3 linked regions of the Macaca fascicularis genome follow. The protein of the gene in region 3 purifies or fractionates together with the protein of the main gene of each other region. This does not show direct contact. Links are inferred from orthologs where the notes say so. Each region holds a gene or a part of one and is shown on either strand. Other genes may lie near its edges.

The links.
Region 1: the proteins of HDAC2 (region 3) and APPL1 purify together in Homo sapiens (co-immunoprecipitation; 3 studies listed by BioGRID and IntAct, with this or other methods). This does not show direct contact. The link is inferred for Macaca fascicularis from reciprocal best matches to the Homo sapiens genes HDAC2 and APPL1.
Region 2: the proteins of HDAC2 (region 3) and SINHCAF purify together in Homo sapiens (affinity purification with mass spectrometry; 3 studies listed by BioGRID and IntAct, counting the BioPlex papers as one, with this or other methods). This does not show direct contact. The link is inferred for Macaca fascicularis from reciprocal best matches to the Homo sapiens genes HDAC2 and SINHCAF.

The regions. Positions count from the first base shown.
Region 1 is NC_088376.1:120,335,493-120,339,147, forward strand, and holds part of APPL1 (DCC-interacting protein 13-alpha), read left to right. Parts: intron 1-867; coding exon 868-950; intron 951-1,691; coding exon 1,692-1,850; intron 1,851-2,862; coding exon 2,863-3,051; intron 3,052-3,655. UniProt on the Homo sapiens protein: Multifunctional adapter protein that binds to various membrane receptors, nuclear factors and signaling proteins to regulate many processes, such as cell proliferation, immune response, endosomal trafficking and cell metabolism.
Region 2 is NC_088385.1:33,850,153-33,853,807, reverse strand, and holds part of SINHCAF (SIN3-HDAC complex-associated factor), read left to right. Parts: intron 1-91; coding exon 92-242; intron 243-3,655. UniProt on the Homo sapiens protein: Subunit of the Sin3 deacetylase complex (Sin3/HDAC), this subunit is important for the repression of genes encoding components of the TGF-beta signaling pathway.
Region 3 is NC_088378.1:17,987,972-17,991,626, reverse strand, and holds part of HDAC2 (histone deacetylase 2), read left to right. Parts: intron 1-1,272; coding exon 1,273-1,365; intron 1,366-1,442; coding exon 1,443-1,551; intron 1,552-3,655. UniProt on the Homo sapiens protein: Histone deacetylase that catalyzes the deacetylation of lysine residues on the N-terminal part of the core histones (H2A, H2B, H3 and H4).

The sequences.
Region 1 (3,655 bases), on a different chromosome or scaffold from region 3:
CTTCATAATAGATCTGAAAGAGAATGAACAGGTTTGAGTTTATCCCATATTCCTTGCATACTTCCTGAGTTAAAAATAATAGATGAACTCCAGCGTGCCCCAAGGTACATCAGGAAGGGGGCTAGAAATTTGTTTTGGGTAGTATAAGACAAAGTGTCAGTCTCCTAAAAATTAAGAGTTTAAAGAAAATTGAGGCCAGGTGCGGTGCCTCATGCCTATAATCAAGCACTTTGGTAGGGCCGAGGTAGGAGAATCACTTGAGTCCAGGAGTTTAAGACTAGCCTTAGCAATGTAGGGAGACCCCATCTCTACAAAAATTGAAAAAATTAGTTGGGCTTGGTAGCATGCCTCCATGGTCCCAGCAACTTGGGAGGCTGAGATGGAAGGATCCCTCGAGCCTAGGAGGCTGAGGCTGCAATGAGGTGTTACTGTGCAGTCTGGATGACAAAGCGAGACCCTGTCTCAAAAAAAAACAAAAAATTGAATCTATTTAAGTAAAAGAGTACTTTACTGATTATTCCTCAGATAGAAAACTTATCTTTGTAGTAAACATGAAATACTTTATATAATTTGTTGGAAATACTTTAAAATTTATTTTCCAATTTTAAAAGATTGTTAACCATACATATGTATTACTTGTTCCAATTCAAAAAATATAAAAGGATATGTAGTGGAATTTAAGTCTAACTTCCTTAATGGCTCCATGTGCAGTAGAAATCACAAACTACAATGTATTTTTACACAAATGGGAATATTCCTTTGTTTTTTACCTAACCATGTATCTTAGAGATTGTTTATATGATTTACTTTAAGTATTGCTTAATGTATTTTTGTATTGTTCAATTCCCCCGACTCCCTGCTCTCCAGATAAGTTTCTTTAAGATGGGTTCTGAAAATCTTAATGAACAACTGGAAGAATTTTTAGCTAATATTGGAACAAGCGTTCAGAAGTAAGTATTTTTTTCCTTAAAATTGAAAATGAAATGATGTGAATGATAGCTTAACAGCTCAGTGATATAATGTAAAGATATTTATCATTTAATTTCCTGAGTGAATATTTTCCCTGCCATGAGAGTTTCTTATATGGTTCATGGTTACTTCTTGTTTTTTTTTTTTTTTTACCTCTTTTTTCCATAGATTGTGAACTTCGAATTTCTTAATGGTGATAATTTGATTCTAAACTCAGTTTTATGTCTGAATAAAACAGACACATAATAGTAATTCCCCATAAGTGAAATTATCTTTAAACTTGAAATTGTGGGAGTTTAATGGGAGATTACTAAATATTGTTTCCACGCCATGAAAGCTTAAAGACAGAGAGAAAGCAGTTCTCATCAGGTTCAAAATGCTGAGCAATATATGTGGTCTGTCCACGGTATGGAGAGAGATGAAAGTGATTGTTGTTTTAAAGGCACAGGACCTCTGTTTTAAAGGCGCAGTTTGAAAATTATGCCAAAATCAGGGATTCAGTGGGGCTTCATTCATTTTTTGAATTTAGTATTGTTTCCAAAATATCTAAGTTTCAAATAAACTGTAAACCTGTTTTAAAATGTATTTGTGTTGTTTTAACCACGCATGCCACATTTCCTCTCTTTAAGAAAACATATCCAAAACAAATATGCAGGTAAACATGATTAGTAAGGAGTTCTACATTGATTGTGATTTATAGTAAATAATCTGTTCTGTATCAGTGTTCGCAGGGAAATGGACAGTGATATAGAGACCATGCAACAGACAATAGAGGATTTGGAAGTAGCCAGTGATCCCTTATATGTGCCTGACCCAGACCCCACCAAATTTCCTGTTAATCGAAATTTAACCCGAAAGGCTGGATACCTTAATGCTAGGAAGTAAGAAAACTATTGTTATTTTTGTATATTGTATATCATGTAAGACAATACCAAATGAATATAATAAATAATTGATGTCTGTCATATTGTTTTGATTTTTATTAAAGGTTGAAACTTTTTAGAGGTGTTAGTATTATGTGAACTTTTTGACAGATGAGGTACGTAAATACTTTTCAGAAGTAAAATCCTACCTAGCTATTTATTGAATAATGTAGAATGATAAAAGAAGTGAAACCAAGGCTGGGCGTGGTGGCTCACACCTGTGATCCCAGCACTTTGGGGGAGACCAAGGCAGGTGGATCACCTGAGGTCAGGAGTTCGAGACCAGCCTGGCCAACATGGTGGAGCCCCACCTCTACTAAAAATACAAAAATTAGCCGAGCATGGTGGCTTATGCCTGTAATCCCAGCTACTCAGGAGGCTGAGGCACAAGAATCACTTGAACCTGGGAGGCAAAGGTTGCGGTGACCTGAGATCGCGCCACTGCACTCTAGCCTAGGGGACAGAGTGAGACTCTTGTCTCAAAAAAAAAAATGAACTGAAACTAATTTGAGTTTAAGTAAATATTCACATATGGTATCATCACATGAGAATGCTGCGAAATATCATTTATCATACTTTAATATATTTGTAATTATAGCACCAAGTCAAATGTTAGTTTTCACCTGATGATAGGATGAAGCAGGTTAACCCTAGAAATAAAATAAATTCTATTGTTTTGAATTTACTCCCTTGGAAGTTGAACTATAACCTGTATTTTATGGATCGTTATTATAACAGCCACAGTTTGATAATTTCCAGCCTTGTTTTGGAAACTGTATATACATTCACAAAAGTGAGTCAATATACATGAATTTATTTTAGAGACTGAAAGCATATTTATATTTATTTTCTTGGCATCTTGGTGCCTTTTCGGAAGCCAGTTCTTTGTAACATGCTTTATCTTGTGTCTAGCTGATGATGAGATTCAGGTATGTTGTTATTAAAGAGTGAATGTGCTTTCTTCATTTAGTAAAACAGGCTTGGTGTCATCTACCTGGGACAGACAGTTTTACTTCACGCAGGGTGGAAATTTAATGAGTCAGGCCCGTGGGGATGTAGCAGGAGGCCTGGCCATGGACATAGACAACTGTTCAGTGATGGCTGTGGACTGTGAAGACAGACGATATTGTTTTCAGATCACCTCTTTCGATGGAAAAAAGTTAGTATTTTTTCCTACTACTAATTATCTATAATATTTTAAACTTCTGAAATGTGGGATAATTCCTTTTTGTTTAGAAATTTTATGGACATTTTAGGTTCATATGTATTAAGATAAATTGCTTTTTAATCTTGTAGAAATATATTGAATTTTTGTTTCTGACTTGGTTAAATGGTTTGTTGATATTTTGAGGTTGTCAAAGAAATGTCATATAGTAAAGACCTGTGATTTCATGTTAGGGAACTGGAACTGAAAATCCTGTGTAGCATCGGGGAATACAGAACAAGTTCATGGAAAGAGTCCTAAACCTGGAGTCAGAAAGTTCAAATTCTGGATCCATTACTTACTCTGTGGTCTCAGACAGCAGAGTAATGTCTGTAACCCCTCTCAGCTCCATTTTTGTTCATGTAAAATGTGAGTGGGGGGGGTTGTAATCCCTACTTCGTAAATTGTTGTGAGGAACAGAAATTCTAACATATGTAATATGACTGACATACAGTAGGTGCTAACAACAGTGTTATTTTAAAATGTTAATCAAATATTTCTGATCAGATTATTTTTCCATTAATGTTTATAATACCATTTAAAAAAATTTCTATTACCT
Region 2 (3,655 bases), on a different chromosome or scaffold from region 3:
AACTGATTCACAGTGTCCTATGCTGAGGTTTAGTTGCAATTACATGTAATGAAATTGAAAATTTTATTTTTTCTTTTAATCTTTATTGCAGATTCTGATGCTCACAGTACCACCTCAAGTGCCTCCCCAGCTCAATCTCCTTGTTACAGTAACCAGTCCGATGACGGCTCAGATACAGAGATGGCTTCTGGTTCTAACAGAACACCAGTTTTTTCCTTTTTAGATCTCACATACTGGAAAAGGTAAAAGAAACAGAAAATATCTCTCTAACCAGCAAACCATCTTAATTACAGGCAGTGTTTTCCTACTTTCTTAGCAATTAAATGGCATTTGGCAAACAGTTGGTAACACACGATTGCAGTGGATTAAGCAGGAATTGAGCAGAGAAGTGGGATTTTGTATGTTCTTCCTATTAAAATTTATTTAAAATAAAAATCACATCAAGGTACCTACATTTCCTATTGCTAGATAAGTGGAGTAGAAAGACAATATGCAGTGGAGAGAATCAGTGAAACTAAAAGTTCGTCCTTCAAAAAGACGTGACCAAAAAAGTACTAGAGATAAAGTGGATCAGGAAAAGGAGATGATGATACACATAAGCAATTTTAGGAGAGAGAAAAGAGACTTAGGTATAGATAAAGCAGACATTTAAAAAATAGGATATTATAGACAACTTTATGCCAATAAATTTGAACATACAGGTGAAGCGGGTACAGTACTAGAAAAAAGGCATCTTGCTAAAGCTGTCTCAAGAAAAAGTGAAAAAACGAGATAATCTCATAATAAATTGATTCGGGCCAGGCGTGGTGGCTCACACCTGTAATCTTAGCATTTTGGGAGGCCAAGGTGAGGGGATTGCTTGAGCCTAGGAGGTTAGGGTTGCAGTAAACTATTACTGCACCACTGCACTTCAGCCTAGTGACAAAGCAAGACTATTTCAAAAAAAAAAAAAAAAAGCCACAATATGCAAGTTGTACTAAACATCCAGGAACAGATGATTGGGGCCTATGCACTGGCTTTTCCAGACTGTGGATAAAATAGGGCATAGGCCCCAAGCATTTTTAAGGCTGATATAAATTTGATACCAAAACAATACATCATCTACCACTAGGGTTATTCTAGGTATGTAAGATTGGTTTTTGAACATGAGAAGATCAACTAATATAATTTACCACATCAGCAGTTTCTTTCTTTCCTTCTTTCCTTCTTTCCTTCCTTCCTTCCTTCCTTCCTTCCTTCCTTCCTTCCTTCCTTCCTTCCTTCCTTCCTTCCTTCCTTCCATCCTTTCTTTCCCTCCCTTCCTTCCTTCCTTCCTTCCTTCCTTCCTTCCTTCCTTCCTTCCGTCCTTCCGTCCTTCCGTCCTTCCGTCCTTCCGTCCTTCCTTCCTTTTTGAGATGGAGTTTCGCTCTTGTTGCCCAGGCTGGAGTGCAATGGCACGATTTCGGCTCACTGCAACCTCTGCCTCCCGGGTTCAAGCGATTCTCCTGCCTCAGCCTCCCAAGTAGCTGGGATTACAGGCGCACGCCACCATGCCTGGCTAAATTTTTGTATTTTTAGTAGAAAAGGGGTTTCATTGTTGGTCAGGCTGGTCTCGAACTCCGTACCTTAGGTGATCCACCCGTCTCAGCCTCCCAAAGTGTTGGGATTACAGGCGTGAGCCACCGTGCCCAGCCCACATTGATAGGTTCTAAAGAAAGGTATTGTCTTCTTAGTGGTGCAAAGAAGGAGTTTGACAAATTTGAACTTTCCTTTAAGGTTTAAAACAAAACTTCTAGCAAAATAGGAATAGAAGGAAACTTTTTTACTTAGACAACAGGAATCTTACAAAAAGTACCAAAGTACATAATACATAACTGTGATAAAAAGAAAGCATTTTCTCTATGATCAGGAACAAATCAAGAGTGTTGACTATCACCATTTCTATTCAGCATTATACAGAATGTTCTAACCAATACAATATTGGTAGTAGCAGTGATAGTGGTAGTACCAGTAGTAGTAAACGCTTTAGAACAGTGCCTAGGGCATAGTATGAGTACTTTATAGATGGTTTAAATATATGCATTTATTTAATCTTTTTTTTTTTTGAGAGTTTCACTCTGTAGCCCAGACTGGAGTACAGTGGTGTTATTTTGGCTCACTGCAATATCTGCCTCCTGGGTTCAAGCGATTCTGCCATTTCAGCCGCCCAAATAGCTGGGTCTACAGGCATGCACCACCATGTCTGGCTAACTTTTGTATTTTAGTAGAGATGGGTTTCGCCATATTGGCCAGGCTGGTCTTGAACTTCTGGCCTCAAGTGATCTGCCTGCCTTGGCCTCCCAAAGTGCTGGGATTACAGGTGTGAGATACTGCACCTGGCCTTACTTAGTCTTTACAACAGTTCTGTGAAGCATTATGTGAAAACAGAGGTACAAAGAGGAAGGAAGTACTTTGTTTAAGGTTACACAATAAGTAGAGCAGGATTTAAATCTAGGCAGTTTGGCATTAGAATGATACATTTTACCCTAGTGTTAGGAAATATAAAATAATGTAGTAGTAAAATATCAAAAACCCTTTGGAGGAGTTATGTAAAAATCATACAATATTGTTGAAGAACATTCATATATATATATATGTATGTGTGTGTGTATATATATGTGTGTGTGTATATATATACACAGAGAGAGAGAGAGAGAGAGTGAGTCTCGCTCTGTCACCCTAGGCTGGAGTGCAGTGGTGCAATCTTGGCTCACCGCAACCTCCACCTCCTGGGTTCAAGCAGTTTTCCTGTCTCAGCCTCCGGAGTAGCTGGGATTACAGGCGTGCACCACCACACCCTGCTGATTTTTGTATTTTTAGTAGAGATGAGGTTTCACCATGTTGGCCAGGCTGATAGTGAACTCCTGACCTCAGGTGATCTGTCCGTCTTGGCCTCCCAAAGTGCTGGGATTATAGGCATGAACCACTGTGCCTGGCCATTGAATAACATTTAAAGACACCTAAATAAATTGAGAGGTATAGCACATTCATAGATATTATTAAACTGACTGTTAGGGAGATTATCACTTTGTAGATTCAGGGTAATTGCAGTCAAAACCCCAACATATTTATGGAACTTGACAAGCTAATTTATAATTTATATAGAAAAGCAAAAGGCCCAAAATAGGCATCTTCAGAAGAAAAAGAAAGATGTCGATAAACTTTTCCTAACAGAAATCAAGACGTTATAAAGCCATAGTAATTAATGTGTTTTGGGACTAGGAATAGAAAAATAAACCAGTGGAATAGTATAGAGAGCCTGGAAACAAGCCCACATATGTATATAGCACTTGTTATGTGATACATGATGTGGGGGTGATTGATGGGCGAAAATGGTCTGTTCAATAAGTGTTGCTAGGATATTAAAAACAACATGGTTATTCATGGGAAAAAACTGGGCTTGGTTCCCTACCTCACACCGTAGACAAATACCAATTACAGATGCATTAAAGTAGAAAATAGAATATGACTTTTGAGTGGAAAAGGATTTTTTATGACAAAGTACTAAGCATTTAAAAAAACTTCCAGGTTTGATTACATTATAATTATGAACTTAAATTCATCAAATAACACCATAAAGAAAATGAAATGATATCCAGCACATATATCTGACAAAGGGTTAGTATCTGGAATATAC
Region 3 (3,655 bases):
GTGGTGGCATGCACCTGTAGTCCCAGCAACTTGGGAAGCTGAGACAGGACAATTGCTTGAACCGAGGAGGCGATCTTGGCTCACTGGAGTGCAGTGAGGCGAGATCACGCCACTGCACTCCAGCCTGGGTGACAGAGCAGGACTCCATCAAAAAAAAAGAAGAAAAAGGGTGGCACGCTCCTAATCCTTTGGTATTGCAGTTAAAATACTAGTTTATAGTAATATCTGTACTATACAGTATCTTCTAGGAATACATAACACACAAATGCATACGCACACATACAAATGCATAACATATACAAATAAGTATATATAATACGTGTATATATCATTTAAGAGTATATGTAGCTGGAACCTTTGTGTCTTTTGAGAGAGATTAATGCCTGGAGTGATACTCATTCAACCAGTAGAAACAAAATTTATTTGAAGTCCAATTAAAGAACAACTCTGATGCTGGGCGCCATGGCTCACACCTGTAATCCCAGCACTTTGGGAGGCCGAGGTGGGCGGATCATCTGAGGTCCAGGAGTTTGAGACCAGCCTGACAAACATGGAGAAACCCTGTCTCTACTAAAAATACAAAATTAGTCGGGCATGGTGGCGCACGCCTGTAATCCCAGCTGTTTGGGAGGCTGAGGCAGGAGAATTGCTTGAACCTGGGAGGCAGAGGTTGCAGTGAGCCAAGATCGTGCCATTGCACCTCTAGCCTGGGCAGCAAGAGCAAAACTCCGTCTCAAAAAAAAAAAAAGAACAAATCTGGTGCTTTAGTTGGTAGCTGTTAAATCTTCGAGAAAGTCTGGGTCGTTCTTTCATCATAAGTAAACTCATACCAACAGATTGTGAACCACAAGAAGGATTGTGCGGATGATTGTCCTGCAGGGTTTTTTGGCTTCATTTATTTTCCACAGGTTTACTCATAAAGTTGCCTTGCCATCTTACATATTCTGCTTATGATGGATTTTCTGGTTTAAGGTAATAATGTAATTTCATTGCCTTTAACTGCTTGTGTTAAATTTCTTTTCTCTCAAAAATAATCACTACAGATTAATTGAAAATGGTTCTTGTGTGCTTTACAATCAGTTTATAAATATTGGAGCATATACTTATTTGTTCTTTATTATTTCCTTTCTCAATTTGATTGTTCCGGTCTCAACTTCTAAGATGAATTCAAAATTGGATCCTTAATAGTCTTTTAGTCTTTTCAAAATGTAGTAAGCAAATGTCAAACTTTTTGTTATAGAATATTCTCTAAGATCTGTTTATGTATTTTAGGATATTGGTGCTGGAAAAGGCAAATACTATGCTGTCAATTTTCCAATGAGAGATGGTATAGATGATGAGTCATATGGGCAGATATTTAAGCCTGTAAGTATTGTTTTCAAAATTGGAATGGAATTTCAGAATGTTATTGGAGATGCTAACATTTGTTATCTTGTGTGTAGATTATCTCAAAGGTGATGGAGATGTATCAACCTAGTGCTGTGGTATTACAGTGTGGTGCAGACTCATTATCTGGTGATAGACTGGGTTGTTTCAATCTAACAGTGAAAGGTAAGCAATTCAAAGGGTGGTATTCCCAGAAAAAAAATGATTTTTCTTCCACCTAAGAACTTCCCATAAAAGTTCTCATTGTAATTTCTTGCCTGCTGTTTTAACACTATACTCTGCATTTTTCCTGGGGTTTTGTCTGTTGTATATATGACTAGAGTTATTCTTGTTACATTGTGGCAGATTTATATGTACATTTATATATGACTAGTTTTTTAGTTTATTGTAGTTTGAACCCAAGGCAGCTATTTTCGAATGTTTTTGTTGACTCAGTGTCAATAAAACAATGCATACTTTATTACTTAATTGGATTATTCTCATTAAGGAAGAAGAGGGTTTAGCTCTCCTCACCACTTTGCCCACAGCATACTTGTAACCCTTCCCACATCTCTATTTTTTACAAATCAGAATTTGGTTGTGACATTTAGTGTTTACAGCAGCATCTTTAAACACTTTTCAGCTTATCCAAGTTTTCTTTGCCGAATAATTGTTCCTAAGTTTCACATTTGCTTAGTTTTCTCTCCACTTATTGCTAAACTACTGGTGTCTCAGTATCTCCATATGTTCAGATCCATTGAGTATTCTGTCACTTTTACCTTCTTGAAAAACAGCCTTCTCATCTGTTCATGTTTGGATGACTCTCTTTGGTAGACCTGGCGGGACATATAGCTGTTCTCTGCTTTTTTTCTATTGTATTGGTTCTTCCTGGTGGCTCTATTCTCTGTCGTTAATTTTTTTCTCATGTTTTCGTGGAGCGCCTTCTCAAGTAGCTTCCTGATAAAAAGTGTGTGGGAGATTAGGAGTGCTGCAGTACATACTAAATTTTGATCACGTGTTGAAGTCAGCATATGATGGAAGTCTAGGCCAAAGCAAAATATCACCATTCTGGAATGAACTTCTAGGGTGTAAGAATAAATCTGAAATTTAATAAGATCTTAAAATTTATTTGTTGGTTAGAAATGATTTTTATCATGAGTGTTTGTGTATGATTTTAGAGGTTTTTTTCCATGTGAACTTTTAGGTAGCAAGTTGATACTCTGCTTTGTATTCTCTAAGATGTAGAGAATTCTCAGATAGAACTTTCTCCAGAACAACTGCTGGTCTTAATGGAATTGGATAACTAAATACAGATATTAAAAGCTTCTTTACTTAATGTTACGATTGCTACTATACCAGCTGTATTAGAATTATGGTATAGTCTGTTATTCTACATTAAGTTAAATGATATTAAATTAATTGTCCCTTTGTAGGTCAGCAGTGGTTGAACAGCATGTAACTTAATGTGTTAATAACCATCTTTTGCCTCAAAATGTTTATAAACTTTCTTTTTTTTTTTTTTTTTTTTTATGAGACGGAGTCTCGCTCTGCCGCCCAGGCTGGAGTGCAGTGGCTGGATCTCAGCTCACTGCAAGCTCCGCCTCCTGGGTTCACGCCATTCTCCTGCCTCAGCCTACCGAGTAGCTGGGACTACAGGCGCCCACCACCTCGCCCGGCTAGTTTTTTGTATTTTTCAGTAGAGACGGGGTTTCCCCGTGTTAGCCAGGATGGTCTCGATCTCCTGACCTCGTGATCCGCCTGTCTCAGCCTCCCAAAGTGCTGGGAGTACAGGCTTGAGCCACCGCGCCCGGCCTATAAACTTTCTAAAACGATCTACCTGATGTACTCTTAAGAGTGTGTATTAACTATCAGTTTTCCTGTTAGACATGAAAGTCCTTAATGTTTTTGTACTTAATAGTTTTTATAATCATTTCACTCTTAGAGAAAAATTAACGTTGTATTTCAGCTAATAGTGTTTCAGTTGTATAAAGCATGTAAGGATATTTGTAATTCCCAAGTGTTAAACTTCATTCTGAGTTTCTCTACTGCCAGCTTTGATTCAGCTTTTTCTTTTTTTTTTTGTTTTTTTTGTTTTTTTTTTGAGACGGAGTCTCGCTCTGTCGCCCAGGCTGGAGTGCAGTGGCGCGATCTCGGCTCACTGCAAGCTCCGCCTCCTGGGTTTACGCCATTCTCCTGCCTCAGCCTCCTGAGTAGCTGGGACTACAGGCGCCCGCCACCGCGCCCGGCTAATTTTTTGTATTTTTAGTAGAGTCGGGGTTTCACCGTGGTC